Arabidopsis thaliana: one gene and its partners. The protein of the gene in region 1 interacts with the protein of each later gene in a pairwise test. Each region holds a gene or a part of one and is shown on either strand. Other genes may lie near its edges. The genes, in order: EIN4, EIN2 and AT5G63190.

Evidence for each region.
Region 2: the proteins of EIN4 (region 1) and EIN2 come close enough for resonance energy transfer, tested with the Arabidopsis thaliana proteins (one study listed by BioGRID).
Region 3: the proteins of EIN4 (region 1) and AT5G63190 interact in a two-hybrid assay, tested with the Arabidopsis thaliana proteins (one study listed by BioGRID).

Annotation. Positions count from the first base shown.
Region 1 is NC_003074.8:1,232,624-1,242,282, reverse strand, and holds EIN4 (Signal transduction histidine kinase, hybrid-type, ethylene sensor), read left to right. Parts: upstream 1-3,666; 5' UTR 3,667-4,317; coding exon 4,318-6,078; intron 6,079-6,167; coding exon 6,168-6,707; 3' UTR 6,708-7,074; downstream 7,075-9,659. Other genes in the region: AT3G04590 (AT hook motif DNA-binding family protein), read left to right, coding at 680-1,172, 1,535-1,587, 1,769-1,900, 2,137-2,289, 2,431-2,776, 2,980-3,038.
Region 2 is NC_003076.8:783,593-795,301, forward strand, and holds EIN2 (NRAMP metal ion transporter family protein), read left to right. Parts: upstream 1-3,835; 5' UTR 3,836-4,005; intron 4,006-4,538; 5' UTR 4,539-4,996; coding exon 4,997-5,245; intron 5,246-5,389; coding exon 5,390-5,476; intron 5,477-5,566; coding exon 5,567-5,677; intron 5,678-5,768; coding exon 5,769-5,981; intron 5,982-6,062; coding exon 6,063-6,248; intron 6,249-6,358; coding exon 6,359-9,019; intron 9,020-9,096; coding exon 9,097-9,474; 3' UTR 9,475-9,812; downstream 9,813-11,709. Other genes in the region: LOG6 (lysine decarboxylase family protein), read left to right, coding at 1-17, 98-241, 462-485; IDH-V (isocitrate dehydrogenase V), read left to right, coding at 10,451-10,642, 10,788-11,108, 11,208-11,369, 11,498-11,572. UniProt on the Arabidopsis thaliana protein: Central factor in signaling pathways regulated by ethylene (ET) and involved in various processes including development, plant defense, senescence, nucleotide sugar flux, and tropisms.
Region 3 is NC_003076.8:25,342,266-25,351,664, forward strand, and holds AT5G63190 (MA3 domain-containing protein), read left to right. Parts: upstream 1-3,276; 5' UTR 3,277-3,537; exon of another isoform or gene 3,538-3,546; intron 3,547-3,879; coding exon 3,880-4,096; intron 4,097-4,277; coding exon 4,278-4,375; intron 4,376-4,463; exon of another isoform or gene 4,464-4,504; coding exon 4,505-6,298; 3' UTR 6,299-6,535; downstream 6,536-9,399. Other genes in the region: AT5G63180 (Pectin lyase-like superfamily protein), read right to left, coding at 1-435, 664-848; AT5G63200 (tetratricopeptide repeat (TPR)-containing protein), read left to right, coding at 6,778-6,941, 7,265-7,481, 7,699-7,791, 7,871-7,972, 8,091-8,258, 8,335-8,423, 8,495-8,616, 8,764-8,945. UniProt on the Arabidopsis thaliana protein: Involved in target of rapamycin (TOR)-regulated translation control, especially under energy-deficient conditions.

The DNA of each region.
Region 1 (9,659 bases):
TGTGCTAGCTACATTTTTCAGTACTTGAAATCCCATCCGTTTATGCAATCTCCTAGCCAAAACAGATCATTGAGTTCCAAACAGTTACAAAGTCTTTTTTTCCCCTTTGTTTGATGCTTTGTTGCTTGTTTAGGAAGAAAGTGAATATGTGGCCTAACCGGGGTATTGGTTAGTGATTAAAGGCCTTTGTTGAATACCAATGTTGACGAATGCAAAGTTGAAAAAGGAGTTCAATCTTTTTGTTACACCCCCATTGACTTTATCATTTTCTTTTAATCATTCAAATCATGGTTTCTTTGAAATTGGAGGATATGTTAAATCAACCATGTACTAAATGACTAGAGAAAAGTGAAAAACTGAGAAGGTGAGTGAGTGATCTTTCGTTTCCCTCTGAAAAAATTAAATTTCTGTTTCCTCGAGAAATAAAAACAGATAAAAAAGGGTAAAAAGAAGAGATGCTTTAACACACATAAGTCAAAAACATCTTAAGTCAAATCTAGAAGATCTAACGGTTGAGATTCTATCTCATCATCTTCCTTCTTATCGATTAATATATAAGTATAAAATAATAAAACCCTAAAAGAAAACAAAAAAAAATGCAAAAAGAAAAAATGAAAAAAAATCCCTAACTCTCTCTCTCTAGAAATTCTTATTTTTGTGCGTATCTCTCTAAAAAGGAATGGATCCTAACGAAAGCCACCATCACCACCAACAACAACAGCTCCATCACCTCCACCAACAGCAACAGCAACAGCAGCAGCAGCAACGACTCACTTCTCCTTACTTCCACCACCAACTACAGCACCATCACCACCTTCCAACCACCGTAGCAACCACCGCTTCTACCGGAAACGCCGTTCCATCTTCCAACAATGGGCTTTTCCCTCCGCAGCCTCAGCCACAGCACCAGCCTAATGATGGGTCATCTTCTCTCGCGGTGTACCCTCATTCAGTTCCGTCCTCGGCTGTGACGGCGCCGATGGAGCCGGTAAAGAGGAAGAGGGGTCGACCAAGAAAGTATGTGACGCCGGAACAAGCCCTAGCGGCTAAGAAATTGGCGTCTTCTGCGAGTAGTTCGTCTGCTAAACAGAGGCGAGAGCTTGCTGCTGTTACCGGTGGTACGGTATCGACTAATTCCGGGTCATCCAAGAAATCTCAGCTTGGTTCTGTCGGTGGGTTTAATCTTTTCTTCTTTTGAATCTTATCGTTGGTCAATTTGATATCTAAAGTTTCCAACTTTAAGGTCAATGATTAATCTCCCAATTCTTAAATTTTGATTCTTTAGCTGTTAATTCGTTGGTGTGATTTGAGACGTAAGTGCCTTGAATTAGCATTATGTATAATTTACAGCAGTAGATTTACATCTTGAGTTTCTTAATTACACTGAAGATTGTGTAGTTAGATTCTTGTTTGTATAGTTTATCAATTTGTTTCTTTTTTAGATCCCATTGAGTATCTTTCAAGTGATCCTTTAGTTATATTCTGGAATTTGTGTTATACTCTGAGCTTTACTACAAGTTTTTTGTTGGTGCAGGGAAAACTGGACAATGTTTTACTCCGCATATTGTTAATATAGCTCCTGGCGAGGTATGTCATGTTCTTGTACACTCAAGATCCTTACTTGTAATAGAGATTTGTTGGTGTAGGCACAATATCTATCATTCTTTCAATTCTAAGTCATTCTATTTCTCTTTTTGTTTCATTGATACTAATGCAAATCGAGGAGGATCCTTAATGATTCTAAGTGTTCTCTTTGTGATACTGTCAGGATGTGGTCCAGAAAATTATGATGTTCGCAAACCAAAGCAAGCATGAACTATGCGTTCTTTCTGCATCAGGCACTATCTCTAATGCATCCTTGCGCCAACCGGCTCCATCAGGAGGCAACTTACCATATGAGGTGATTTTCTCTTGCAGTAAAATAGTACTCAGCTTGCTTCTTTGTTGTTTCTTTCCAAAGGGGAGAGGAGGGTTTTTTCTTTCTGATCCTTTCTCTCTATTCTGTGTGATAGAGGAAAATTGATACACAATACAGTTAGCATGTTGATAAAGCAAAGAGATTCTTAATTCAGATACTTTCTTTGAAGTTTGCATATCATTGTTAAACTTGCCTCAAATTTCAAAAAATTTATTCAGGGTCAATACGAGATTCTCTCACTATCTGGATCCTATATCCGAACTGAACAAGGTGGTAAATCCGGCGGCCTTAGCGTTTCTTTATCTGCTTCAGATGGTCAGATCATCGGTGGAGCGATTGGTAGCCATCTCACAGCTGCTGGCCCGGTTCAGGTACAATTCTGTTGTATCATAGTTTCAACTTGCATATATTGAAACATTGTTATTGTTTCCAACCATCTTACACAAAACTGATCATTTCCTAAGATAGGAGGTCTGGCTTTGATTGATCGCCTTAGATTTGTGCAAATGCAGGTGATTCTTGGTACGTTTCAGCTTGATAGAAAGAAGGATGCCGCCGGGAGTGGTGGGAAAGGGGATGCTTCAAACAGTGGAAGTCGGTTAACTTCTCCTGTAAGCTCTGGACAGTTGCTTGGCATGGGTTTCCCTCCTGGTATGGAATCTACGGGAAGAAATCCAATGAGGGGAAACGACGAGCAACATGATCATCATCATCATCAAGCCGGTTTGGGTGGACCTCATCATTTCATGATGCAAGCGCCGCAGGGGATACACATGACACATTCCAGGCCATCTGAATGGCGCGGAGGAGGCAACAGCGGTCATGATGGCAGAGGCGGTGGCGGGTATGATTTGTCAGGTAACAAAAAAGCTCAAAACTTCTCGAAAGATGTCATCTTTCTTCATCAAAGTTCAAACCCTTAAATCCAAACAAGGACAGATTAGAATTGCTATGGAGATTGGTGGAAATTAGTATTTTGTAGAGTTCTAGAAGATTACAGGCTAAAGCTCTTCTCCGTTGTGGCAATGGCTTGAAACGCTGATGGATGTAATCTTGTGCAGGAAGGATAGGACATGAGTCGTCGGAGAATGGAGATTACGAGCAGCAAATACCGGATTAGCAGAGCTTCCAGGAGAAGTGTGTAGAGTTTAGATCCCAAGTAGAGAAACAGAAGGCGAGCAAAGAATCTGAACTGAGAGAGGACTTATTAGACAGAGACTCGTCTGAAGGGTCTTTAATCATAGAAAGAAGTTGCTGAGTGATTGCTTTTGTTCTTCTTCTTGGTACGGTGTATTATATTAACTCCACAACCTTTTTTTTATACTTTCAGTAACGATTCTCCTTCACTTTCAATTTCATTCCTTTTTTTTATACTCTTTTTCTTTTCTTATAATATTTTTTTTGGTTTTTCTTTCGTTTGTTACTAAAAAAGGAAATGCTCTTTTTGTGAAATATATACACTTCGTTTGTTCGGTTTCTACTTATGTTAATTATTCATAACCTATCTTAATTTAGTAAACGGTTCCTATGAGCCGTTACTTGGACCAAAACATTAACTCATTTGACGAAGAACAAAAAAACTCATTTGAGAATTCTGTTTATTTATTCATATTAATATTGATTTAGTTTAAAATTCTTGGTAACTTTATGTCAAGTTGTCAACTTGTAAATTTCTTGATTGATAATGTTGGAATGCTATAACTTATGTGAAGCCAAAAATTACTGTTAAAAATTCTTATCTTTAATGGGAATTTTTTGTTGACATCTAAGCTTAAAGTGAAACACCACCATTTTTATGGACTTGAGCAACTCTCCGGAAATTGCTTAAGCGAAAAGTCTGCTGCTTTTGTCTTAAAAAAACTTTGAATATTGTTGACTCAAGTCTGAAAATCCGCAACTGAAACTCCCGGAAAAGATCTGCCACCACCGGACCAACTCGGTTTCTTCTCTTTTCTAATCACTTCTTCTGTTTCTCCAACTTCTGTGAAAAAGATGTCAGATTGACTCGATTTCGTTGCTACAAATGGAGATGGGTCTTTCTTATTTATCTTACTAGATTCGAGAGGTGTGTTCTTTCTCTATTCTATTGGCTTGAATCTTAGCTTTCGTTTTTCTCTGATTACCTTCCCCTGGAATTTAAAAAAAAAAAACTCAAAGGCGGTTTCTTTTCTCAGTACTACGAATATCGAGGAACATAGATCTTGATTCCTTTGCCTTCTTCTGGGTATGCGTGTTTGGAGTTGTTTAATCTCATTGGTCTCTACGCGTTGTGGAAATCTATGAATACCAAGTCAGTTATGTTTAATTGGTTCATTGGATCTCAACTTGTAGAGAGCCTCAAGATTGTGGCTGGATTTGATTAGGGTTTTAGATAGAGAGATTAAAGATTGGATCAGAAGATGTTAAGATCTTTAGGTCTTGGATTGCTTCTGTTTGCTCTTCTTGCTCTGGTTTCTGGTGATAACGATTACGTGAGCTGTAATTGTGACGACGAAGGTTTCTTAAGTGTCCACACCATCTTAGAATGTCAAAGAGTGAGTGATCTCTTAATAGCCATTGCCTATTTCTCAATACCTCTCGAGCTTCTCTACTTCATTAGCTTCTCCAATGTTCCTTTCAAATGGGTTCTTGTTCAATTCATTGCCTTTATTGTCCTATGTGGAATGACTCATTTGCTTAACGCTTGGACGTATTACGGACCACACTCTTTCCAGCTTATGCTTTGGCTTACCATCTTTAAATTCCTCACGGCGCTTGTCTCGTGTGCCACGGCTATCACGCTCTTGACTTTGATTCCGTTGCTGTTGAAATGGAAAGTTAGAGAGCTTTACTTGAAGCAGAATGTGTTGGAGCTTAATGAAGAGGTTGGATTGATGAAGAGGCAGAAGGAAATGAGTGTGCAGGTGAGAATGCTTACTCGGGAGATCAGGAAATCGCTCGATAAGCATATGATTCTGCGGACTACTCTCGTTGAGCTATCCAAGATTCTTGATTTACAGAACTCTGCTGTTTGGATGCCTAACGAGAACAGAACCGAGATGCATTTGACTCATGAGCTTAGAGCGAATCCGATGAGGAGTTTCAGGGTAATCCCGATTAATGATCCCGATGTTGTTCAGGTTAGGGAGACCAAAGTAGTGACAATTTTGAGGAAAAACTCTGTTCTTGCGGTTGAGAGCAGTGGTTGTGGCGGTTCGGAAGAGTTTGGACCGGTTGCTGCAATTCGGATGCCGATGCTTCACGGATTGAATTTCAAAGGAGGCACTCCCGAGTTTGTGGATACTCCTTATGCTATAATGGTTTTGGTACTTCCGAGTGCGAATTCACGGGTTTGGACCGATAAAGAGATCGAGATAGCGGAAGTTGTTGCTGATCAAGTAGCGGTTGCTATCTCTCATGCCTCAGTTCTTGAAGAATCACAGTTAATGAGAGAAAAACTCGGTATTCAAAACCGAGCTTTACTTCGAGCAAAACAGAACGCGATGATGGCAAGTCAAGCGAGGAACACTTGCCAGAAAGTGATGAGTCATGGAATGAGGAGACCAATGCACACAATTCTTGGTCTACTCTCCATGTTTCAGTCCGAAAGTATGAGTCTTGACCAGAAAATCATCGTTGATGCGCTCATGAAAACAAGCACAGTTCTCTCAGCTTTAATCAACGACGTGATTGACATTTCGCCTAAAGATAACGGGAAATCTGCATTAGAGGTTAAACGGTTCCAGCTACATTCCTTGATAAGAGAAGCCGCTTGTGTTGCTAAATGCTTAAGCGTTTACAAAGGTTACGGTTTTGAGATGGATGTTCAAACGCGGTTGCCTAATTTAGTAGTAGGAGATGAAAAGAGAACGTTTCAGCTTGTGATGTATATGCTTGGGTATATCTTGGATATGACTGATGGAGGCAAAACCGTTACGTTCCGAGTTATCTGTGAAGGTACTGGAACAAGTCAGGACAAGAGCAAAAGAGAAACTGGAATGTGGAAGTCCCATATGTCCGATGATTCCCTCGGTGTGAAATTTGAAGTTGAGATTAATGAGATTCAGAATCCTCCATTGGATGGTTCGGCTATGGCTATGAGACATATTCCGAACAGAAGATATCATAGCAATGGGATTAAGGAAGGCTTGAGCTTAGGCATGTGTAGAAAACTTGCACAGGTTAGTGATCTCATCATGTCTCTGTTTCTGTTTGGTATATAGAGATTCTAATTATAAACAGTGTATTTGATTTGAAATTTGTTTTGCAGATGATGCAAGGAAACATATGGATATCACCTAAATCGCATGGACAAACACAGAGTATGCAATTAGTTCTGAGGTTTCAGACAAGACCATCGATTAGGAGATCAATCTTAGCAGGAAATGCTCCAGAGCTTCAACATCCGAATTCAAATTCCATTCTTCGTGGTCTAAGAATCACTCTAGCAGACGATGATGATGTCAACAGAACCGTGACTAAGAGACTTCTTGAGAAACTCGGCTGCGAAGTAACTGCTGTCTCGTCTGGATTTGAGTGTTTGAATGCGTTGTCAAATGTGGAAATGTCGTATAGAGTTGTGATTTTGGATCTGCAGATGCCGGAGATGGATGGTTTCGAAGTAGCAATGAAGATAAGGAAGTTTTGTGGACATCATTGGCCATTGATTATAGCTTTGACTGCTAGTACTGAAGATCATGTTAGGGAAAGATGTTTGCAAATGGGGATGAATGGTATGATCCAGAAACCGGTTCTTTTGCATGTTATGGCTTCTGAGCTTAGACGGGCTTTGCAGACCGCGAGCGAGTGATTCGAGCTCAGAGAAGGAAGCAGATATCAATGAATCTTGAAAAGCAAAAATCTTGAAACGAAGAAAAGCAGAGTGAGGATTCTTTGAAGATGTGAAGCATAGAGACACCTCTCTGGGGAAATGTTTTTGTTGTTGTTGTTGTCTCGGTTCTACAGTGATGAGAATTGAGTCAGTTTTCTCTATTTAGCCTAGTTTGGAGATTGGTTGGTTCGAAACTATTTATACGTAATGATTTCGCATTTTTAGCGAAAAAATAACATAAGTTTATTAGATTTAATAATAATTAATTTTATAATTTTGTCTTGAGTAAATTCTCTCTGAATATTTATACAATTCTTTTTTTGCATCTCATTATTAAATTCATCATATTTTGTCAAAATTCATCGCTTGTATTCTCTAATCTATTGCTCTAACTTTTTATTCTTTGTTTACTATTTTTTGACATTTTTTATTTAGTTTTACTATTCAGACTGAATGTTTCAAGCATTGTATATTTTGGACATTTCTTTGTCAACCAAAAAGAAATAATATTGTATCAAATCAAATGAAATTTATTAATTATTTATTTTTTGTCAATGTAATTTAGTTAGTATTTTATCAAATGTATTTTTTGTTTGTTTTTTGATATAAACAAAAAGTCTATTTAAAAATACTTTTTTTGACGGCAAAAACTTTATTTGACAGCAAAAACGTTTTTTTCTTAAAGACTAAAGTTTAGACCAGACCACCACACCAAACGTTTGATTGCTAAATGTTAGTATCTATACGAACACCAAAGTTAATGTTATTTAATGCTTTGTGTAGTCTTAAGAACGAACATCACGTAACGCTATAAATTATGTTCGACATATCGATGTTCGAATTTTTTAAAATGTACTTATTTGGATTGGATATTAACAAATACCAAACGACAAAAAATAAATCCCCATTCTAGCTTTAATTCAGTTCTCGTTTCTCTCAAACAATTGACAAAAGAAAATCAGAAGTTTGTAATGGTTATTGGATATCAATTTATTCCTAATTTTCAATCTTTTTTTCTACTATCAATATATTAAGATGTAAAATTAAGAAAAATAAAACTTTTAACAAAAAAATGCATATACGCATTATCAATTTATCATTTGAGTGTTATTTAAAGTGAGGACCATCTACAACGGATATTTATCTTGGGAATTATAAAATTATTCCTTTTTATGTGATAAGCAGTACCTCGGCGTACTACTAATTGTTTTAAAAATCCTTTTATATTGTTTTTTTAGGACCCCTAAGCAATGCTTTTATCTTGTGGTCTTAGTTATACTTTTAATAATGCTCGTTTATGGATTCCTTTTCAAAGTATTATTTGTTAATTGCTCTTGTTAACTTTTGGCTAATTAATTATTATTGTCTTTTGAGTGCGGTTTAGGGCTTCCTTTTTGATAAAATATCACAAGAAAATTATGATTTGATCTTTCTACACAACACTTTTTCAAATTTCTAGTTTTTCAAATTACTTAAATTACAATTTAAAAACCTGAAAATCAGGTTTGATTATTTGATAATTATCTTTATTTTATTTAAATTGAGTTAACTCAATCATTAGAAGAAAGTGCTAACTTTGTTGGACTTAGATATGAATATTGCTCTATGTATGCCTAAAGATTAATTTATATATGTAAATTTTCGTCACACCTTAATAGCAACGACTAGTTTTCGGAATAGATAAATATAAGAAATTCAAAAGATAAGTCTATTATATTTTGTTGTTTATCTGCTTGACTACTTGGATCTAGATAAATTATTTTTCAAATCATACATTTGCAAAGGGGACTAATTTATGTGAGTAATTCAAAATTCAAAAGCACTCTAATCATAAATCATTTTAAGTATTATGCATTTCTGCTCGAGAAAGTACGGATATTAAACAAACAATTACCATGTCCATTAGGGTTTGCGTTTTGCAAGAGGAACCCATGTGGTACCATGTGAAATGGTCCTCTATTGGCATACCTTTGTTTATGATTATTAATTAAAAGATGGTCAAGAAAGCCTAGAAAATTGGTAAAATGACGACACTTATTAAGAAGACCAACAAGAGGTAATATATATATATATTTGGTATAATAGTTGCATTGGACTATTTTCCCCTGGTATATATATTAGCTGCATTGGTTTGGCAGTTTGCCATATATTTTTTTTGTAGTTGATTGTTTTGTTATATTATTTGAGGTTGACTATCGCTTATTTGTTATTTGACCGTTGCAGATTCACAAAATCATTATAATTCAATAGTAGTTAATTAGGTTTCAATCCGATCATTGATTTTCCGAAAGACACTGCATATATATACATGTTAAATATTTTATATTATCATTTGAAATAAAAGAACTTAAAAATAAATTAGGGTAACTTATCAGGAATAGATCTTAAAAAAAAACAATTATTCATTATCTCTTTGTGTGTTAATCGAATATTTTAATCTGAATTTGCATGAATTACATGTATATGTATGTATTCTCTAAAAATAGTGGAGCTGATGTAGGGATGATTTCGCAAATGCTATTTTATGCACCAAAAGATCATAAAATTCCTTGTATATATATTTGGATTCGAACCAACTTCCCGGAATCGGAGTGAATTTATTTTTTCTTTTCTTTTTTGAGTGAATTTACCTTTCTTGCTAAATATTGATATTTTTTAGTGATGTACATTGCTTAAACAATGTCGCTCTTAATTAACCGAGTTAGAATCCGATTGTTTTGTTCAGAAGGTTAGTATATTCATCATGCATGTCATGGCAAATTTCCTTACATGTATTGATTAAATATTTTATTGCATAATTTATAGCACAAATTTATGATTAATGAGGCCAGGTGAGTGTGGTGAGGCTGATGATTCCCAATCCAATAAATGCATGCAGACATACATAGATATATTAGTAATATACTATAGGAAAAAGCCTACCAAAAAAAA
Region 2 (11,709 bases), on another chromosome or scaffold:
GTATCCATGATAAACCGGTATGTAAACCGGTTTGGTCTGGTATAAGATAATAACCGACATTTTGATAGAGTTAGCTATTGTTTTCTTTTTCTTGCAGGTCGGTTTATTAAACGTTGATGGATATTACGATGCATTGCTGTTATTCATCGACAAAGCCGTCGAAGAGGGATTTATTCTTCCAACCGCTCGACATATTATCGTATCTGCACCAACCGCAAGAGAGTTGTTTATAAAATTGGAGGTATATCGATAGATGATACGGATTTAACCCTAAACCGAACCATACAGTATATCCAAGTCATGATCCCGTTATGATTTATTATTTTCTAGTTGAATATGGTATCACTAGATCGAATATCTAAACATGCATTATCTTTGTTTCAAGTTATGTCTAAAGCTGGTTAGACTAGACCGAGTTTTTGTTTAATAATCATGAAATTTTTGATTGGTGTGTATTGCAGGAATATGTGCCTCAACACAAGTAATAATATGCATCAAAACTGAGCTCCAAGACGATTCATACCAAAAAATTGTGAATCGGGATGAGTAAATATTTGATTATTTCTTAGTCAATCTAAAAGTCGGATTTGATTAGGGAGTACAAAATGTAAATTTGTTTTGTGATTTTATAATATATCAACTAGTGCATTTCATTTACATTTTAAGTTAAGTTCATATACGTTTACGTTAGATACTGTAAATTTTTGGTCCGATGGTTTTGGATATAAGGGGCTGTTTTGACATTTCCGATTATAGAATAGATCATTTGCCTTCAATTTTTCTAAAAATGTTACGTAGACCCAAGCTAAATTTATTATTTGTTGGGCCAACCTAAACACTAATATCGATTGCAACACTTGGTTGTTGAAAGACCTAGCTACCACTTATATTACTAATCAATTTTTCTTGGTTTGAATGTGTAGATCAAATCGATTCAATTTACTACCAAAAACATTTGTCTGAGCTACAACTTTCGATCTAAAGTCCTGAGCCAAGCAATCTTTAATTATAGAAAATCATTACATAATCTCGAATTGTTTAAGTTACTTAAAATTCATATGTCTCCTCCTAAAACATCCCCGATTCGATCTTATTCTTCTGGTCTCCACGTAATAACTCACATACATTAAAAAAAGAACAAAAATAAAGAAAACCCACTTGATTAAACGAAAACATTTGTTGAATCGAACCAATTAATTGAACAATAAACGAGTTCTGATTTGTAACTGACGTCTCATGTTTCGAGGTTAATTACTAAAATTTTCAAATCTCCAATTCTTATGAACCCACCCACCATGTGTTTTAAGCCCAAGAGAGATTCAGTGAACCAAGAAGGAAAATAATTTAAATTGTCCCTTACACTAATGAAAGGTTATGTTAACAAAAATCCATTTTATTAATAGATTGATAGTACTAATAAATAAATATTTGGACACAAAGCCCAAAAGATCACAATCTAGTTAAAAAAAGATCGACAAGAAAGATTCTTTAAGCTGATGAATGATCTGTACCATGTAGCTTTGTTCCCTTTTTGGTTAACTGCCCAAACAACATCAACGAGACTTTATAAAAAAAAAACTTCCTTATGACCAAACTAAATAACTGAAATTGATTTATTAGTCAAAACATATTAAAGAACTTATTTGTATGATATCATTATACATTCCATATGTAACTGAAATATGACTATCTTGACTCTTTGAAGAATTCTGACTTTTTTTATTCAGTCAAACTTTTAAATTGTGTTGGTTACTCATCGGTACGGATAAAAAAATTCGTATGTGTTATTTCAAAAGTACTTGAAGAATATTGTTTCTATATATATTTATAGTGTTATAAAAAAACAAGTGTGGTCTCTATGTTATGGTTCATTGAACATATACATCAACATAGGACTGAGAGGAGCCCATGTTCCTTTCATTGATGCAAAATTTTAGTTTCTTGTGTTTTAATTTGCTTCCTATCCAATGTACATGTATATATACTTTCACAAGAGAATATGGATAATGTTGAGTATGTTAAATATATAGTGACAAGTTACATAAAAAAAGCCTAAAGAAATCAAATTGGAAAAAATAGTAAGGTACAATGTATGGTTATCGAAAGCCCAAGCTGTACTTCCATTGATGTAGGAGATGATTAGGAACACGTGGATTATATTTGACCAAAAATAGTAGAAATTCTATTTATATTTGTTTTCTTCTTTTGGTTTTGGGTTTGATTTTGTGATTTGGATAGTTCGGTTAAGGATGGTTTGATCAATCAATATAACCATACTAAAATATGATTCAGTTAACTAACTATAGTAACTGTTTCTTCGTTAGTAAAATGATACATTTATTGGAATCTATTGACAAATCTTAATGACTTATTATAACTGGTGATAACAAAATCTAGCTATTATTTTGTATCCAACTACATATTTTGTATAAAATGGAAATTCGTATATGATATTTGTTTAGTTTAAAAGTAGAGTGTATTTGTTTTTTCAATGATGATTTAATGAAATCAAGCTCTTAGTTGAGATCAAAAGACAAATAAAACAAAATGTTTTTTTTTGTTTTGTTTCTTTTCTATTTGAGGGAAGGCCATGAATTCTTATTTTTGACAAATAGTTGTTCTATGCAATTAATATTGATGTCTAATACATATACAGCAGAATAAATAAAAACTTGCTATATAAAGACGTATTATTTATAGCATTCTGTGGAGTATAATGTCGAATCCTGTTCTCATTTCCGATTTTACATATTTATGGTACTAACGCCTTCATTTATTTTTCCATTTTCGTTAGTCAACAACTTCAGCTTTTGATAACGCCTAATTGTATCATCAACTTTAGTTAGTTTTCTCAAATAACGTCATTTTCAAATAAAGTTTTTGATTTCTCTTTTATTATATTTATGCAAAAGGAAAATTATAATTTCAGTATTTTGCAGAACGCTGAAATGTATAATAGAACCTATTCATGTATTTTTGTAAAATTTTAAAGATTGTTTTAATACTAAAATAAGTAAATCATTAAAAAAATTCCTAGACATTGGTCTCTAATATAAGATAAATAGATCTAAATTATGTTTGGATTTTAATTCTAATAAAAAGGTAGCCAAAAGTTATATATACAATATTTAAACAATTTTATTTGTTTAAGATTTGAATTTTATAGTATGCGAGAATCGCGTAAACTTTTCTCGAATGTAACAAAAAATTTCAAATCTTCTCGACACATGTAATCTTTTGCGAGTTAGAAGATTTGATTCCTTATTTTTTGTTCGTATTCTTAAAGTTAGTCACGTTTATATTATTTTTCGCTTTGTAACCGTCCCTTTAAATTTTTAATAAAAATTAAAAAAATTGCTAGAAAACAACATTTTTGTATTACTCAAATCAAAAGTACAAAAATAAATTTAGCTAGCGTTTCACAAAATCAAGTAAAATAATCTCCATTTGAAACTCCATAATCAAGCTGTTTGATGTATTATTATTACATGTAATGAGGAGAAAGAGGGGTCGAGAAATTTAAAGTAATAATAATTCTCTTCTTCGTCCATGGAATAAACTACGATTAGTTTAAAAAGATTAATAAAGATGGATTAAAGAAACTATATGTTAAACCTGGAAAATTTATTTAAAAAGACGTTTTTTTAGCTATAAGAAAAAAAAGAATAATACCTTTATTTTTACATGTTATTTACAAGTAATAATTTTTTTTTTCTCTCTCTCTCTTTGAAGGTGGCACGAGCACCCATAACCTTCAGACCTATAGATACAAATATGTATGTATACGTTTTTTATATATAAATATTTTATATAATTGATTTTTCGATCTTCTTTTATCTCTCTCTTTCGATGGAACTGAGCTCTTTCTCTCTTTCCTCTTCTTTTCTCTCTCTATCTCTATCTCTCGTAGCTTGATAAGAGTTTCTCTCTTTTGAAGATCCGTTTCTCTCTCTCTCACTGAGACTATTGTTGTTAGGTCAACTTGCGATCATGGCGATTTCGAAGGTGACTTCTTTCAAAAACCCTAATCCTCTGTTTTTTTTTTTATTTTGCTGGGGGGCTTTGTACGGACTTTCATGGGTTTTTGTAGCTTTTCCCTCGGCTTTTGCGCAAATGAGACTTTCTGGGTTTTTTTTCCAGCTTTTTATAATTTCATCAGGTGGATCGAATTCGTAGTTTCAGCTTAGATCTCTCTCCCTCTTCATTATCTGGACTTTCCAGACTTGGAGTTCTTCGGGATTGTTTTCGGTTTCTGGGTTTTGTTTTAATTGCGAGATTTAAGCTTTTTTCTTTTTTACTACTGTACTTGGTTTGTGGTTGACCTTTTTTTTCCTTGAAGATCTGAATGCGTAGATCATACGGGATCTTTGCATTTTTGTTGCTTTTCGTCAGCGTTACGATTCTTTTAGCTTCAGTTTAGTTGAAATTTGTATTTTTTTTGAGCTTATCTTCTTTTTGTTGCTGCTTCATACTAAGATCAATTATTGATTTGTAATACTACTGTATCTGAAGATTTTCACCATAAAAAAAAAATTCAGGTCTGAAGCTGATTTCGAATGGTTTGGAGATATCCGTAGTGGTTAAGCATATGGAAGTCTATGTTCTGCTCTTGGTTGCTCTGTTAGGGCTTCCTCCATTTGGACCAACTTAGCTGAATGTTGTATGATCTCTCTCCTTGAAGCAGCAAATAAGAAGAAGGTCTGGTCCTTAACTTAACATCTGGTTACTAGAGGAAACTTCAGCTATTATTAGGTAAAGAAAGACTGTACAGAGTTGTATAACAAGTAAGCGTTAGAGTGGCTTTGTTTGCCTCGGTGATAGAAGAACCGACTGATTCGTTGTTGTGTGTTAGCTTTGGAGGGAATCAGATTTCGCGAGGGAAGGTGTTTTAGATCAAATCTGTGAATTTTACTCAACTGAGGCTTTTAGTGAACCACGACTGTAGAGTTGACCTTGAATCCTACTCTGAGTAATTATATTATCAGATAGATTTAGGATGGAAGCTGAAATTGTGAATGTGAGACCTCAGCTAGGGTTTATCCAGAGAATGGTTCCTGCTCTACTTCCTGTCCTTTTGGTTTCTGTCGGATATATTGATCCCGGGAAATGGGTTGCAAATATCGAAGGAGGTGCTCGTTTCGGGTATGACTTGGTGGCAATTACTCTGCTTTTCAATTTTGCCGCCATCTTATGCCAATATGTTGCAGCTCGCATAAGCGTTGTGACTGGTAAACACTTGGCTCAGGTAAACATTTTTCTGATCTCTAAAGAACAAACTTTTTAAAATAACAAACTGGGCTCTGTGGTTGTCTTGTCACTTTCTCAAAGTGGAATTCTACTAACCACCTTCTCTATTTTTCTAACATTTTAATGTTCTTTACTGGGACAGATCTGCAATGAAGAATATGACAAGTGGACGTGCATGTTCTTGGGCATTCAGGCGGAGTTCTCAGCAATTCTGCTCGACCTTACCATGGTAGTTACTTACAATCTTTGCTGTTCTTAATTTTTTTATTATGTGATAAAATTTTGATTCCTCTGACTTGAGCTTCTCTATTATAAACAGGTTGTGGGAGTTGCGCATGCACTTAACCTTTTGTTTGGGGTGGAGTTATCCACTGGAGTGTTTTTGGCCGCCATGGATGCGTTTTTATTTCCTGTTTTCGCCTCTTTCCTTGTATGACTGGTCTTCCTGTCTTGTTTTTTTTCTCCACGTTCTTGAAATAGCATTATTGGAAATTAGCTGACATGCATACAATTTCTGACAGGAAAATGGTATGGCAAATACAGTATCCATTTACTCTGCAGGCCTGGTATTACTTCTCTATGTATCTGGCGTCTTGCTGAGTCAGTCTGAGATCCCACTCTCTATGAATGGAGTGTTAACTCGGTTAAATGGAGAGAGCGCATTCGCACTGATGGGTCTTCTTGGCGCAAGCATCGTCCCTCACAATTTTTATATCCATTCTTATTTTGCTGGGGTACCTTTTTTCTCTTTATATGTATCTCTCTTTTCTGTTAAGAAGCAATAATTATACTAAGCAGTGAACGCTCTATTACAGGAAAGTACATCTTCGTCTGATGTCGACAAGAGCAGCTTGTGTCAAGACCATTTGTTCGCCATCTTTGGTGTCTTCAGCGGACTGTCACTTGTAAATTATGTATTGATGAATGCAGCAGCTAATGTGTTTCACAGTACTGGCCTTGTGGTACTGACTTTTCACGATGCCTTGTCACTAATGGAGCAGGTTTGTTCTGACGGTTTTATGTTCGTATTAGTCTATAATTCATTTTTAGGGAAAATGTTCAGAAATCTCTCGTGATTATTAATTATCTTGTTCTTGATTGTTGATCACAGGTATTTATGAGTCCGCTCATTCCAGTGGTCTTTTTGATGCTCTTGTTCTTCTCTAGTCAAATTACCGCACTAGCTTGGGCTTTCGGTGGAGAGGTCGTCCTGCATGACTTCCTGAAGATAGAAATACCCGCTTGGCTTCATCGTGCTACAATCAGAATTCTTGCAGTTGCTCCTGCGCTTTATTGTGTATGGACATCTGGTGCAGACGGAATATACCAGTTACTTATATTCACCCAGGTCTTGGTGGCAATGATGCTTCCTTGCTCGGTAATACCGCTTTTCCGCATTGCTTCGTCGAGACAAATCATGGGTGTCCATAAAATCCCTCAGGTTGGCGAGTTCCTCGCACTTACAACGTTTTTGGGATTTCTGGGGTTGAATGTTGTTTTTGTTGTTGAGATGGTATTTGGGAGCAGTGACTGGGCTGGTGGTTTGAGATGGAATACCGTGATGGGCACCTCGATTCAGTACACCACTCTGCTTGTATCGTCATGTGCATCCTTATGCCTGATACTCTGGCTGGCAGCCACGCCGCTGAAATCTGCGAGTAACAGAGCGGAAGCTCAAATATGGAACATGGATGCTCAAAATGCTTTATCTTATCCATCTGTTCAAGAAGAGGAAATTGAAAGAACAGAAACAAGGAGGAACGAAGACGAATCAATAGTGCGGTTGGAAAGCAGGGTAAAGGATCAGTTGGATACTACGTCTGTTACTAGCTCGGTCTATGATTTGCCAGAGAACATTCTAATGACGGATCAAGAAATCCGTTCGAGCCCTCCAGAGGAAAGAGAGTTGGATGTAAAGTACTCTACCTCTCAAGTTAGTAGTCTTAAGGAAGACTCTGATGTAAAGGAACAGTCTGTATTGCAGTCAACAGTGGTTAATGAGGTCAGTGATAAGGATCTGATTGTTGAAACAAAGATGGCGAAAATTGAACCAATGAGTCCTGTGGAGAAGATTGTTAGCATGGAGAATAACAGCAAGTTTATTGAAAAGGATGTTGAAGGGGTTTCATGGGAAACAGAAGAAGCTACCAAAGCTGCTCCTACAAGCAACTTTACTGTCGGATCTGATGGTCCTCCTTCATTCCGCAGCTTAAGTGGGGAAGGGGGAAGTGGGACTGGAAGCCTTTCACGGTTGCAAGGTTTGGGACGTGCTGCCCGGAGACACTTATCTGCGATCCTTGATGAATTTTGGGGACATTTATATGATTTTCATGGGCAATTGGTTGCTGAAGCCAGGGCAAAGAAACTAGATCAGCTGTTTGGCACTGATCAAAAGTCAGCCTCTTCTATGAAAGCAGATTCGTTTGGAAAAGACATTAGCAGTGGATATTGCATGTCACCAACTGCGAAGGGAATGGATTCACAGATGACTTCAAGTTTATATGATTCACTGAAGCAGCAGAGGACACCGGGAAGTATCGATTCGTTGTATGGATTACAAAGAGGTTCGTCACCGTCACCGTTGGTCAACCGTATGCAGATGTTGGGTGCATATGGTAACACCACTAATAATAATAATGCTTACGAATTGAGTGAGAGAAGATACTCTAGCCTGCGTGCTCCATCATCTTCAGAGGGTTGGGAACACCAACAACCAGCTACAGTTCACGGATACCAGATGAAGTCATATGTAGACAATTTGGCAAAAGAAAGGCTTGAAGCCTTACAATCCCGTGGAGAGATCCCGACATCGAGATCTATGGCGCTTGGTACATTGAGCTATACACAGCAACTTGCTTTAGCCTTGAAACAGAAGTCCCAGAATGGTCTAACCCCTGGACCAGCTCCTGGGTTTGAGAATTTTGCTGGGTCTAGAAGCATATCGCGACAATCTGAAAGATCTTATTACGGTGTTCCATCTTCTGGCAATACTGATACTGTTGGCGCAGCAGTAGCCAATGAGAAAAAATATAGTAGCATGCCAGATATCTCAGGATTGTCTATGTCCGCAAGGAACATGCATTTACCAAACAACAAGAGTGGATACTGGGATCCGTCAAGTGGAGGAGGAGGGTATGGTGCGTCTTATGGTCGGTTAAGCAATGAATCATCGTTATATTCTAATTTGGGGTCACGGGTGGGAGTACCCTCGACTTATGATGACATTTCTCAATCAAGAGGAGGCTACAGAGATGCCTACAGTTTGCCACAGAGTGCAACAACAGGGACCGGATCGCTTTGGTCCAGACAGCCCTTTGAGCAGTTTGGTGTAGCGGAGAGGAATGGTGCTGTTGGTGAGGAGCTCAGGAATAGATCGAATCCGATCAATATAGACAACAACGCTTCTTCTAATGTTGATGCAGAGGCTAAGCTTCTTCAGTCGTTCAGGCACTGTATTCTAAAGCTTATTAAACTTGAAGGATCCGAGTGGTTGTTTGGACAAAGCGATGGAGTTGATGAAGAACTGATTGACCGGGTAGCTGCACGAGAGAAGTTTATCTATGAAGCTGAAGCTCGAGAAATAAACCAGGTGGGTCACATGGGGGAGCCACTAATTTCATCGGTTCCTAACTGTGGAGATGGTTGCGTTTGGAGAGCTGATTTGATTGTGAGCTTTGGAGTTTGGTGCATTCACCGTGTCCTTGACTTGTCTCTCATGGAGAGTCGGCCTGAGCTTTGGGGAAAGTACACTTACGTTCTCAACCGCCTACAGGTAACAAAAACCGCAGTAGTTCATTGAAAATCACAGTTTTGCAGTTTGAAAATATTGACATGTATGGATTTAAACAGGGAGTGATTGATCCGGCGTTCTCAAAGCTGCGGACACCAATGACACCGTGCTTTTGCCTTCAGATTCCAGCGAGCCACCAGAGAGCGAGTCCGACTTCAGCTAACGGAATGTTACCTCCGGCTGCAAAACCGGCTAAAGGCAAATGCACAACCGCAGTCACACTTCTTGATCTAATCAAAGACGTTGAAATGGCAATCTCTTGTAGAAAAGGCCGAACCGGTACAGCTGCAGGTGATGTGGCTTTCCCAAAGGGGAAAGAGAATTTGGCTTCGGTTTTGAAGCGGTATAAACGTCGGTTATCGAATAAACCAGTAGGTATGAATCAGGATGGACCCGGTTCAAGAAAAAACGTGACTGCGTACGGATCATTGGGTTGAAGAAGAAGAACATTGTGAGAAATCTCATGATCAAAGTGACGTCGAGAGGGAAGCCGAAGAATCAAAACTCTCGCTTTTGATTGCTCCTCTGCTTCGTTAATTGTGTATTAAGAAAAGAAGAAAAAAAATGGATTTTTGTTGCTTCAGAATTTTTCGCTCTTTTTTTCTTAATTTGGTTGTAATGTTATGTTTATATACATATATCATCATCATAGGACCATAGCTACAAACCGAATCCGGTTTGTGTAATTCTATGCGGAATCATAAAGAAATCGTCGGTTTGAAATGTTAAATCTCCTAAACCGGATCTCTGCACGTAGCTGACACATCGACGCTAGATTACTGACACGTGTCCTTATCAATATTTCTTCTCGAAACGTCTTACTGTTTCATAAAGTCCTTCAAATTTCTGGGGAACTAAGAAAATCCAGCAGAGTAACTAATCCAATGGGTTATGTAATCTACATATCGTTCCCGGCGATTCTTCTCCTTCTGATCGTCGCTATCGCCTTTTATCTCATCGGACGAAAAATCGGCCGGAGAGAAGGGATTCAATCAACGTCGCAGTTACACTACGGACCGCCGTTGGCTAATTTTCCGGCACCTGCACCACCGCATAAAGCTATGGAGAAGCCACCGGAGCCGGTTTAGTGTATGTATGATGACGTAATAATACTTACGTATTACGTAAACGTTCTATATATGTAGTTTGTGTGTTAAATAAGATGTAATTGGGCCGATGCTGAAACCAATTTTAAAACAACTCTTTATTGGGCCTGGGGTTTAAGGAAACACTTCGTGCCGTTTAAATTCCGTACTCACCTAATGCAACCTAGAAACTACGCAGCGTTTTGACGGAAGAAGAAATATTCGCTTCTTCTTTTACAACTTTTGTCCCACAACGCAGAAAAGTCCTCTCTTTCTCTCTCTCGAATAATAATTTTTCATTTGCTGCGTCCTTTTGGTGCTTGAAGCGATGACCATGGCAGCAAATCTAGCGCGACGGCTGATCGGAAACCGATCGACTCAGATCCTTGGAGCCGTGAACTCTAGCTCAGGTGCGGCTAGTTCTGTCGCTAGGGCTTTCTGCTCCTCCACCACTCCGATCACCGCAACTCTCTTCCCTGGCGATGGGATCGGTCCCGAGATCGCCGAATCTGTCAAAAAGGTCCCTCATCCTAATCTCTTTTCTGCGCAGAATTTCGAGTTCTGGAAGTCATAGTTACGAGATAATTGTTTGATTGAATTTTGTACGATAATTTGTGGGAATTCGGCAATTTTGTTGATAGTTTTTGCGTTTTGTACTGATCCAGGTGTTTACAACAGCTGGTGTACCAATTGAGTGGGAAGAACACTATGTTGGGACTGAGATAGATCCGAGAACACAGAGTTTCTTGACATGGGAAAGTCTCGAATCTGTGCGTAGAAACAAAGTTGGTTTGAAAGGTCCAATGGCTACTCCAATTGGGAAAGGTCACCGTTCTTTGAACCTGACTCTTAGGAAAGAGCTTAATCTATATGCCAATGTTAGACCTTGTTACAGTCTTCCTGGTTACAAAACTCGTTACGATGATGTTGATCTCATTACCATCAGAGAAAACACGGAAGGAGAATACAGTGGCCTTGAACATCAGGTTTAGTTTGTTTTAAGTCTATTGATCGAATATTTCAGGTTAGTTCTTCTAATAAATGATTCTAATGATGGTTTTGTTTTCTCCTGACGCATATAATAGGTTGTTAGAGGTGTGGTGGAAAGTCTTAAAATCATTACCCGTCAGGCGAGTTTGAGAGTTGCAGAGTATGCTTTTCTCTATGCCAAGACTCATGGAAGAGAGAGAGTTTCTGCTATCCACAAAGCCAACATTATGCAGAAAACTGACGGTCTCTTTCTCAAGGTCTGCCCGTTTTATAACTCCAAGCATTTCTTATACGGAGGGATCAAAGCAATGATTGTTATTTCTGCTAGTTTTTTTTTTTTTACATTTTGTTCTGAGACCATTTTTATTTTGCTTCCGTTTTTCAGTGTTGTCGTGAGGTTGCTGAGAAGTATCCTGAGATCACTTACGAGGAGGTCGTTATTGACAACTGCTGTATGATGGTAAGCTATGACACCGAATCTACTATTTTTTCGTTAATTAAGTTAGTGGTCGGGACTCGGGATCACCTTGTAGATTTAGAAGTTTGGTTTCTTAGCAACTTGTATTTGAGTTCTGCTTTTCCACTGTTTTTACATGT
Region 3 (9,399 bases), on another chromosome or scaffold:
TTGCAGTCATGTATGTGTAAACCATGGATGATGATGTTGGTTACATATTGTATGGTTATACATGGCCCACCGGAGATGTGTACGGAGGCTCCTCGTCCGTCTAGGGTTTTGAAAGAATTCATGATGAGTTCTTCTTTTAGTTGGATCGTCATGTCTCGCTTAAAAATGATCCATAGCGGTTCATCTTGAATGACTGCGTATCTTAGTGTTCCCGGTCTAGGGTTTACTGGATCATCGTTTCCTGGATCCGTGACCACATAGATTTCACCATCACGACCGCCAATAGCGTTCTTGCCAAAACCGATACCACAGTCTGCTAACCGTTTTCGGTTTTTCTCCCAATCCTTGTCGCATCGCCAACAATCATCGATTGGATTACCACTCCCGCACGAGAAGAACCCTAGCTTCCTTCTTGATATGGACTCGTTTATTTTTCTAATGCATTAACCAACAGACAATATATTAGCATTAATTAATCTTGACGTACGTAATTAGGCGTACTCATAAGTCATAGCTATTAATGCAGCAATAGTAACAAGTGAGTTTGTGATCAAGATCAAAATTAGCCTTGGATAGAAAGAACTTGGAAGCAATATCTAATACCAAACATTTGACTATTTGAGTGTATGTAAAATGCTTTTACATTTTTGTTAGAACATATACCTGTGTACTTCCTCGACAACAAGCTCAGGGTCGGAAACGGGCAAAGACGAAGCGAGAGCGGAGAACAAAATGCAGCAGAAAAAGATAAGTGCGAAGGATAGATATGAAGAATTTAGCATTGTGTTTCTTTGGCTTTTTGTTGTTGATAAATTTGAAGGTATTAAAAGAGAATTGGGACGAAACATATGAGTGAAGAGAGAAAGACAAAGCAAAGCGATAGACTATATAGCATATGAACACTTCGGGTGATTTATTGCGCATGCAACTTGACGTTAATTGGACCCACCTTGCTTAACCTTTTTCCTCTTCTTGTGAAATTATTTTGGTGTGTGAGAATGGAATCAACCCAAGTCATTTTAGAGAAGAAGAAATAATGCAAAATGTTTCCTAAGATTCAAATTTCATGATACCTGATAAAAAGTGTTTGGCTGAACTAAAAAGTGTTGTTCAGAAATGTAATTCTGATCAAGCTAAACGGAGCTGGTTATGATTTAAAAACGGAAGGAGTAATATCAGCCATCATTACAAATATAATTGGCTCAACAGTTCTAATAATTAAGATTATCAAACCGATAGCACTTAATACTGTATTCAACATTCAGGTAACGCTAGGAATGAGTCACGTGGCTTAAAGAAAAAAAACACAGAACTCGTAATTAAAATCTCAACGAACTTAAAGCTGAATGTTGGTGAAACACTAAGTACGGTGCACCAAAAGTCAACACTGTGTTAGTAATGTACTTTAGTACTAATATTTAATATTACGGTTTAATTTTTGTACCTTTATCATTACTTTTACGTTTTAACGGTTGAATATTATCAATAGCATAGCAGTTAGCTCAATTTAACTGATTTTTTTTTTTTCCTTTTTTTTTTTTTTTGTTAAAGCTCATATAGTAAAGTATTACATTTCGAGATACTTTAGTGTTTCTGCTATCTACTAAACCATATTTTGATAACTAAACGTATATGGATTGTAATTGTAAGAATACGATATTTGATACACTTTGAATTGTTTGATAAGTTGGTTTTAGAGTGTTTGTTATTATTATTATCTTTATACAAAATGAATTTCTTTTGGTGTCTCAAAGAGATATTGCTTGCAGGAAAAGAGAAAAGAATAGACCCACCAAAAGCAATAGAATAGGAGAACTGAGCCGACACTGGCCCATAGAGGTTTGATTTTGGGACCACCGAACCATGTGCTCGAGTCCAATCTTTCAATAAATTCTACACATATAATTTTCTTAAATTCATATAACGTTTTTAGAATAGTAGTGTATTCATTCATATCTAACAATCAGACCCTATGTTGAAATTTTGGCTGGTACAAAATGTGTTGACAATCAATGCACATGGGAAGTATTTGCATCATCACTCTATATCCTCCTCCTCCTCCACACTTTAAAAAGAACAATGTCTTTAAAAACTTAATCAACTATTCGATTACAAGTCTCGCCGACATTTTTCTTTTTGCTAGAGCCATTCATGTTGATGAATTTTCACTTCGGGCAAAAATATGGATCATGAGTTTAAGTCTAGTTTTTTTTTTTTAAATTACTGTTAGTAGCAAATTATTTTATACATTAAGCAAATTGTGTATTCTGGTACATAAACTGCAGAAAACAATTAAATGACATTTCTCACTACATTTTAGACAGTTTTGGACATTCATTCGATTAGTAAATGATTTCGTTCTCGTACGTGATGAAACACGAGAACCGATCGACATTAATGTTCCTTTTTCAGAATATTCTCAACGCTCAAAAGCTAATCTATATACATTTTTCACTACTTTTTACATGATTCATAGAATACAAAAATAATTGAACGCATTTGAATAAGTAACTAAATATAGAGTATGATAATATCTAATTCAACCATTTTAATTATTGACTACATTGGCTTATCAAACTGAAACTTGATCATTTGGATAAGCAAACTTAACAAATTAATGTTTTGAACAAATGCTCAACTTTACAAGTTTTTTTTGTCTTCTATACGAAATCAATTCAAGTTTCATGACATTGTCTTGTGAAAAAAAAACAAGAAAAAATGTAGAGAATTGACCTTTCTATAAAGAAATAGAGTCGTTAGATTGGATTTAAGGTGGTAGATATAAAGAAAACCGTCGGATCAGAAAATAGAGACAAAAGGGCATGTGACCGGTTTTTGCTTGAAAACTACTTGCTAACTTCTTCTCTACTCATTTATCAGTGTTATAATTTTTTTGTTTTTTTTATACACATAGTACGTTCACTAAAATAACAATTTAAAATGAATATTGATATAATTTAGTCATAATAATTTGAAAAATATAAAATACAATATCCATATCTGTTTTAAAACTATAAACATGATGGCCATGATCTAATAATATGATTCCATGAAGCATAAAACTTTTATTAACGTAGTCAACCATTGGATATTGTCCAGCCCAAAATATCTAATTCAATGGGCCGAACCTACCCAATACAGCCCATTGTTTTGGATTAAAATCTTTAAAAAAATTGGAGGCTAAATTAAAAAAAGAAGGAAATATTCTAAGCCCTCCACGTATTACGTTGATGACGTGTACCATCGTATATAAACAAATGCACAAAACTTTATTATATTGTTGTAAAGTAGTACTTTTATTGGCGATCCTCATCCATTTCCTCTCTCGTCGTTGTCTGGGAATCGGTGACTTTTGAATCTTTGCGACTCTCTTGTAGTGATAAATTGATCGTTATCTACTTTGATACTCTCCGGTCGTTTTTCTCCGGTGCTGGAGATCCGATTCCTTATCTTTTCTGTCTTGGCTCGAGATCCGAGCCAAGCAGTAAAGAAGACGACTTTGTTTCACGATTTGGAATTTGATTCCTGCGATCACAGGTATGACAGGTTAGATTTTGTTTTGTATAGTTGTATACATACTTCTTTGTGATGTTTTGTTTACTTAATCGAATTTTTGGAGTGTTTTAAGGTCTCTCGTTTAGAAATCGTGGAAAATATCACTGTGTGTGTGTTCTTATGATTCACAGTGTTTATGGGTTTCATGTTCTTTGTTTTATCATTGAATGGGAAGAAATTTCGTTGGGATACAAATTTCTCATGTTCTTACTGATCGTTATTAGGAGTTTGGGGAAAAAGGAAGAGTTTTTTTGGTTGGTTCGAGTGATTATGAGGTTATTTCTGTATTTGATTTATGAGTTAATGGTCGTTTTAATGTTGTAGATGGCATCGGGTGAGGGAATTTTGACGGATGGACAGTGGAAAAAGCTTGAAATAGCAACTCATAATTCTGGAAGTTTGTCATCATCGCCTAAATCTCATACTCTCTTTGCTGATCTGAACATTAAGTCTCCCACTGGTGGCAAAGGACCAGTTGCTGGGATTCCTAATAGGCATGTGCGACGTACTCACTCAGGGAAGCATATTCGTGTTAAGAAGGGTATTAAACTTTCTTCAACCTTTTGTGCTTGTTATTTGGCTAATAGATCCTTTTAGGGAGTGATATGACTCTTTATTAGTTCCTTTCAAATTTGCTTTAGTGAAAAGACTTAAGTTTTCAGTAGAAGAGTTCAAGTGTGTAGGTGATATATGGTTTACTTATGTGGCAATGATATCTGCAGAGGGTGCTGGTGGCAAAGGAACTTGGGGAAAGCTTCTTGACACTGATGATGGTGACTCCTGTATTGATAAGAATGATCCCAATTACGATAGTGGAGAGGTACTTTCATATTTGCGCCTTTTGTTTTGTGTTGGATACTTTTCCTTGTTTCTTTAGTGTATCTAACATCCCTTGATTTTATCTTTTATTAGTAGTTTGCTTTTTTCATTCATATACTCAATTTAACAGGACGCATATGATGGACTTGTTGATTCACCGGTATCAGACCCGTTGAATGATTACAAAAAGTCAGTAGTTTCCATCATTGACGAATACTTTAGCACCGGGGATGTGAAAGTGGCGGCATCTGACCTCAGGGAACTTGGTTCAAGCGAATATCATCCTTACTTCACCAAGCGACTTGTTTCTATGGCCATGGACAGACACGATAAGGAGAAGGAAATGGCTTCAGTGCTACTCTCTGCATTGTATGCTGATGTTATTTTACCTGATCAAATTAGGGATGGATTTATAAGACTTCTCAGATCTGTTGATGACCTTGCGGTGGACATCCTTGATGCTGTTAATGTCCTTGCATTGTTTATTGCACGGGCCATCGTTGACGAAATTCTCCCTCCGGTTTTTCTGGTTAGATCTAAGAAGATTCTTCCAGAATCTTGCAAAGGGTTTCAGGTTATTGTAACTGCAGAAAAGAGCTATCTCTCAGCTCCTCACCATGCAGAACTAGTGGAGAAGAAATGGGGAGGTAGTACTCACACTACAGTAGAAGAAACGAAGAAAAAGATATCTGAAATCTTGAAGGAATACGTGGAAAACGGAGACACTTACGAAGCTTGTAGATGCATCAGGGAATTAGGTGTCTCGTTTTTCCATCATGAGGTTGTGAAGAGGGCTTTGGTTCTGGCGATGGATTCTCCAACCGCTGAGTCACTTGTACTAAAGCTGTTGAAGGAAACTGCTGAAGAAGGACTGATCAGTTCGAGTCAAATGGTGAAGGGATTCTTCCGAGTAGCAGAGAGTCTCGATGACCTTGCTCTAGATATCCCATCTGCCAAAAAGCTGTTTGATTCGATAGTTCCAAAGGCTATTTCTGGAGGCTGGCTCGATGATTCATTTAAGATAACCTCTGATCAAGATGGAGAAAAATCGAGTCAAGACGGAAAGCTAAGACAGTACAAGAAGGATACAGTGAACATAATTCAGGAATATTTCTTATCAGATGACATTCCTGAGCTAATCCGCAGTCTTCAAGATTTAGGGGCACCTGAATATAACCCGGTGTTTCTGAAGAGGCTCATAACTCTTGCTCTAGACAGGAAAAACAGAGAAAAGGAAATGGCTTCGGTTCTTCTTTCTGCTCTTCACATGGAGCTATTCTCAACTGAAGATTTCATAAACGGTTTCATTATGCTCCTGGAATCGGCAGAAGACACAGCTTTAGATATCATGGACGCATCAAACGAACTTGCTCTGTTTTTAGCTAGAGCTGTGATTGACGACGTCTTAGCTCCACTTAACCTTGAAGATATCTCAACCAAGCTGCCTCCAAAATCAACCGGAACCGAAACAGTCCGCTCAGCCAGGTCTCTTATCTCCGCCAGACACGCAGGAGAGAGACTCCTAAGAAGCTGGGGAGGTGGAACCGGCTGGATAGTGGAAGATGCAAAGGACAAAATCTCGAAACTCCTAGAAGAATACGAAACAGGAGGAGTAACATCAGAAGCTTGTCAATGTATCCGCGATCTAGGGATGCCTTTTTTCAACCACGAAGTAGTGAAGAAAGCTTTGGTGATGGCAATGGAGAAGCAGAATGATCGGTTACTGAATCTGCTTGAGGAGTGTTTTGGTGAAGGATTGATTACAACTAACCAAATGACGAAAGGGTTTGGTCGTGTTAACGACAGCCTCGATGACTTGTCGCTTGATATACCGAACGCGAAAGAGAAGTTTGAGCTGTATGCTAGTCATGCCATGGACAATGGTTGGATCCTTCCCGAGTTTGGGATTTCTGCAACTCAGTGATTAGTGGTTCTCTTATCAGTTTCTTGTGTTTGTGCTTACGATACTTTCCTCACTATCTACATATATGTATGGATTCAGTTAGTAGATAAACATGAGATGTTTATATGTTCATGTGTTTCTGTCTGGTTGTTGTGTTTTGTCTTTGTACTGATATCTTTTAGTGTGTTCTAATTTCTGATGGATTTTTGTTACATTGAAAATAAGTTATTAGCATGGTTAATTTGTGTTAACTTATTACTCTTGTGATATTTTATGAAAATTATTTATAAATATAGAAAATATGGTAATTAAATTATAAAAAGATAAATAAAAATATATTTGTTCGGTCGGTGAGATAATTATGACTCCGGTTCCGGGATAGAGCAAACAAAAGGATAGACCAATACTCGTTGCCAAACAGCTTTATCCTCGTTTTTATATTTGTTTTGATTCTTTCTTCTTCTGCTCAACTTTACTGTCCGGCGTACTCAGCACCATCAATGGACCGCCCGGAGACGATCGCCGTCAAATGCGAACCCATGACCGTTGACTCTCCTTCTCGACCTCTAAAGCTTGTAGTTTTAGCTGACCTTAATTTCAATCCTCCTGAGACTGATGATCTTGACTCATCCATTCCAATCCCTACTCCTCCTCCCATCACTAGGTACTTCTACATACGTAGTTGTGTGTGTTTCAGCTAATTAACCTATTTCTTTCTGTTGCTTTCGACTAACTTTCTTTTGCTGAGATTTTTTTTTCCTCTGTTCGGAAGAAACATATGTTTGAAGTGACATTTTTGTTACGGGGTTGAATATATTGATGTCTTCTTATGCCGCAAAATCTAAAAATCGAGACTTTGGATATCTTTCAGCAAGAGTCTAAAAATGGGGAATTTTTTTTTTGATAAGTAGAGTTTGATTCTTACTGCTTTGGGGGATAGGAGAAGCTTCATGATTCTTAACTTAAATACATTTTTGTGTGTTTTAGGTTGAGTAACGAGGAAAGTCATCAAGAGGGAGGTATATTAACATGCAAGGAGGTGGAACCAGGAGAAGTAGAAGCCAAAAAGATCAGCAAGGTGGGAAAATGCCGCTCCAGAAGTAAGATTGAGTCTTCCTCTGATTGTGGAGTTGATGCAGATGGTGATCTGGCTAATCAAGGGGTCCCTGCATCCCGGGAAGAAAAAATCAGTAACCTCAAAATGGTGAGTTTATTGACTCATAGTATCGTAGAAAGTGTGCTTGGTCATATTGGGGCTAGGATTTCATAAAGTTGCCAAGAATGCATTCATCGTTAAACATTTGGAGAAAGAATGATGATGGTCCTCTTATATTCATAATGCTCTTCGCAGTTGATTATTGGTCTAATTTTCATGATGATGATGCTCTATATAAATTCTGATTTTCCTTCTCTGCTTATAGGGTTTGATTCATGTTGCAAGGAAGATGCCCAAAAATGCTCATGCCCATTTTATACTTGGTCTTATGTTTCAACGATTGGGCCAATCTCAAAAGGTACGCTTGAGCTGAGGGTACTCTGATGTATCTTAGAATAATTATCATCTTAGTGATTTTAACTGCTAGGAGGTTTTAGGCGATACCAGAATATGAGAAAGCTGAAGAGATCTTACTGGGTTGTGAGCCAGAAATTGCTCGGCCAGAACTTCTCTTATTAGTTCAAATTCACCATGGACAGGTGATGATCTTTGTGTCTGAACCAAATTTCATATTTGAAGTTCTTGTATTCGAGAGCTCCTTAGTTTATTGACAATTCACTCGAAGGTTTTAACATTGTACACTTGAAAACATTTTAGTGTCTTCTTTTGGATGGTTTTGGGGATACTGACTCTGTTAAAGAGCTTGAGGGAGAAGAGCTTGAAGAAATTCTTTCAAAATTAAAGGATTCTATAAAGTTAGATGTTAGACAGGCAGCCGTGTGGAATACCCTTGGTTTAATGCTTCTCAAAGCTGGTTGTTTGATGGTAAATTTCCTCACCATGTTGGTTGATTATCAATGTCATTCCTTTTGTTATATAGTTTTGCTTTGTTAATTTGTAGAGTGCCATATCAGTTTTGTCATCCTTGTTGGCTCTTGTTCCTGACAATTATGATTGCCTTGCAAACCTTGGAGTTGCTTATCTTCAAAGGTGAGGAGTTTTCTTCCCCTCTATTTCTAACTATTATCGTGATACTTCACTCTAATGAACAAGTCTTCCAGTGGCGATATGGAGCTTTCAGCAAAATGTTTTCAAGATTTGGTACTGAAAGACCATAACCATCCTGCCGCTTTGATAAATTATGCTGCCGAGCTTCTCTGCAAACACAGTTCAACTGTTGCTGGTTTGTTTCTTATCAAAGAACCTCTAAATTGTTTGCTCCTCTCAATCTGCCTAAGCAAAGTACACATGAAAAAAGTAGAGGGAAATCTATCTTATGTAAACTGTATTTTCACTTGTAACATGTGAATGTATTTTCAATTGATGTCAGGTGCCGGGGCTAATGGTGGTGCTGATGCTTCTGAAGATCAGAAGGCACCTATGAATGTCGCAAAGGAATGTCTCTTGGCTGCTCTAAGATCAGATCCAAAGTCTGCCCATGCGTGGGTGAATCTTGCTAATTCATACTATATGATGGGTGATCACAGAAGCTCGAGCAAATGTTTGGAGAAGGTGCTCTTGGCTCACTTCTTTGTTTTGAGGTTGTTCATTGTTTTCCTTATATTAGACAGAAGGGTTTCTATTACTTGATTTCCTTTTCACCTTTTCTCGAGGCATATTTGGTACTTGGTGAAAAAAGTAATGCAAAATAAGTATGAGGAGTCCTGCATATCCTGCCCATTCTTCATATTTTAACTTGGGATGATAAGGATGGACGCTGTTCCTCTGAATGGGTTGGGGGTATCAACCACTTATCTGATATTGGACCGACTTTCTCTCTTTTACCAAACATTTTACTTGTGGTTTTGTGTCCATGTTTCAGTCTCTATTGCAATAGGCATAGGTTCAATTAAAAATGCATATGAGAAAGAGACTCGTGTAGCTTAATTATACCCTGTCCAAATGATCCATTCGACCTTGATGGTGGCTGTTCAAAATGTAACCCTGGTTCTGTGATAATAAGATT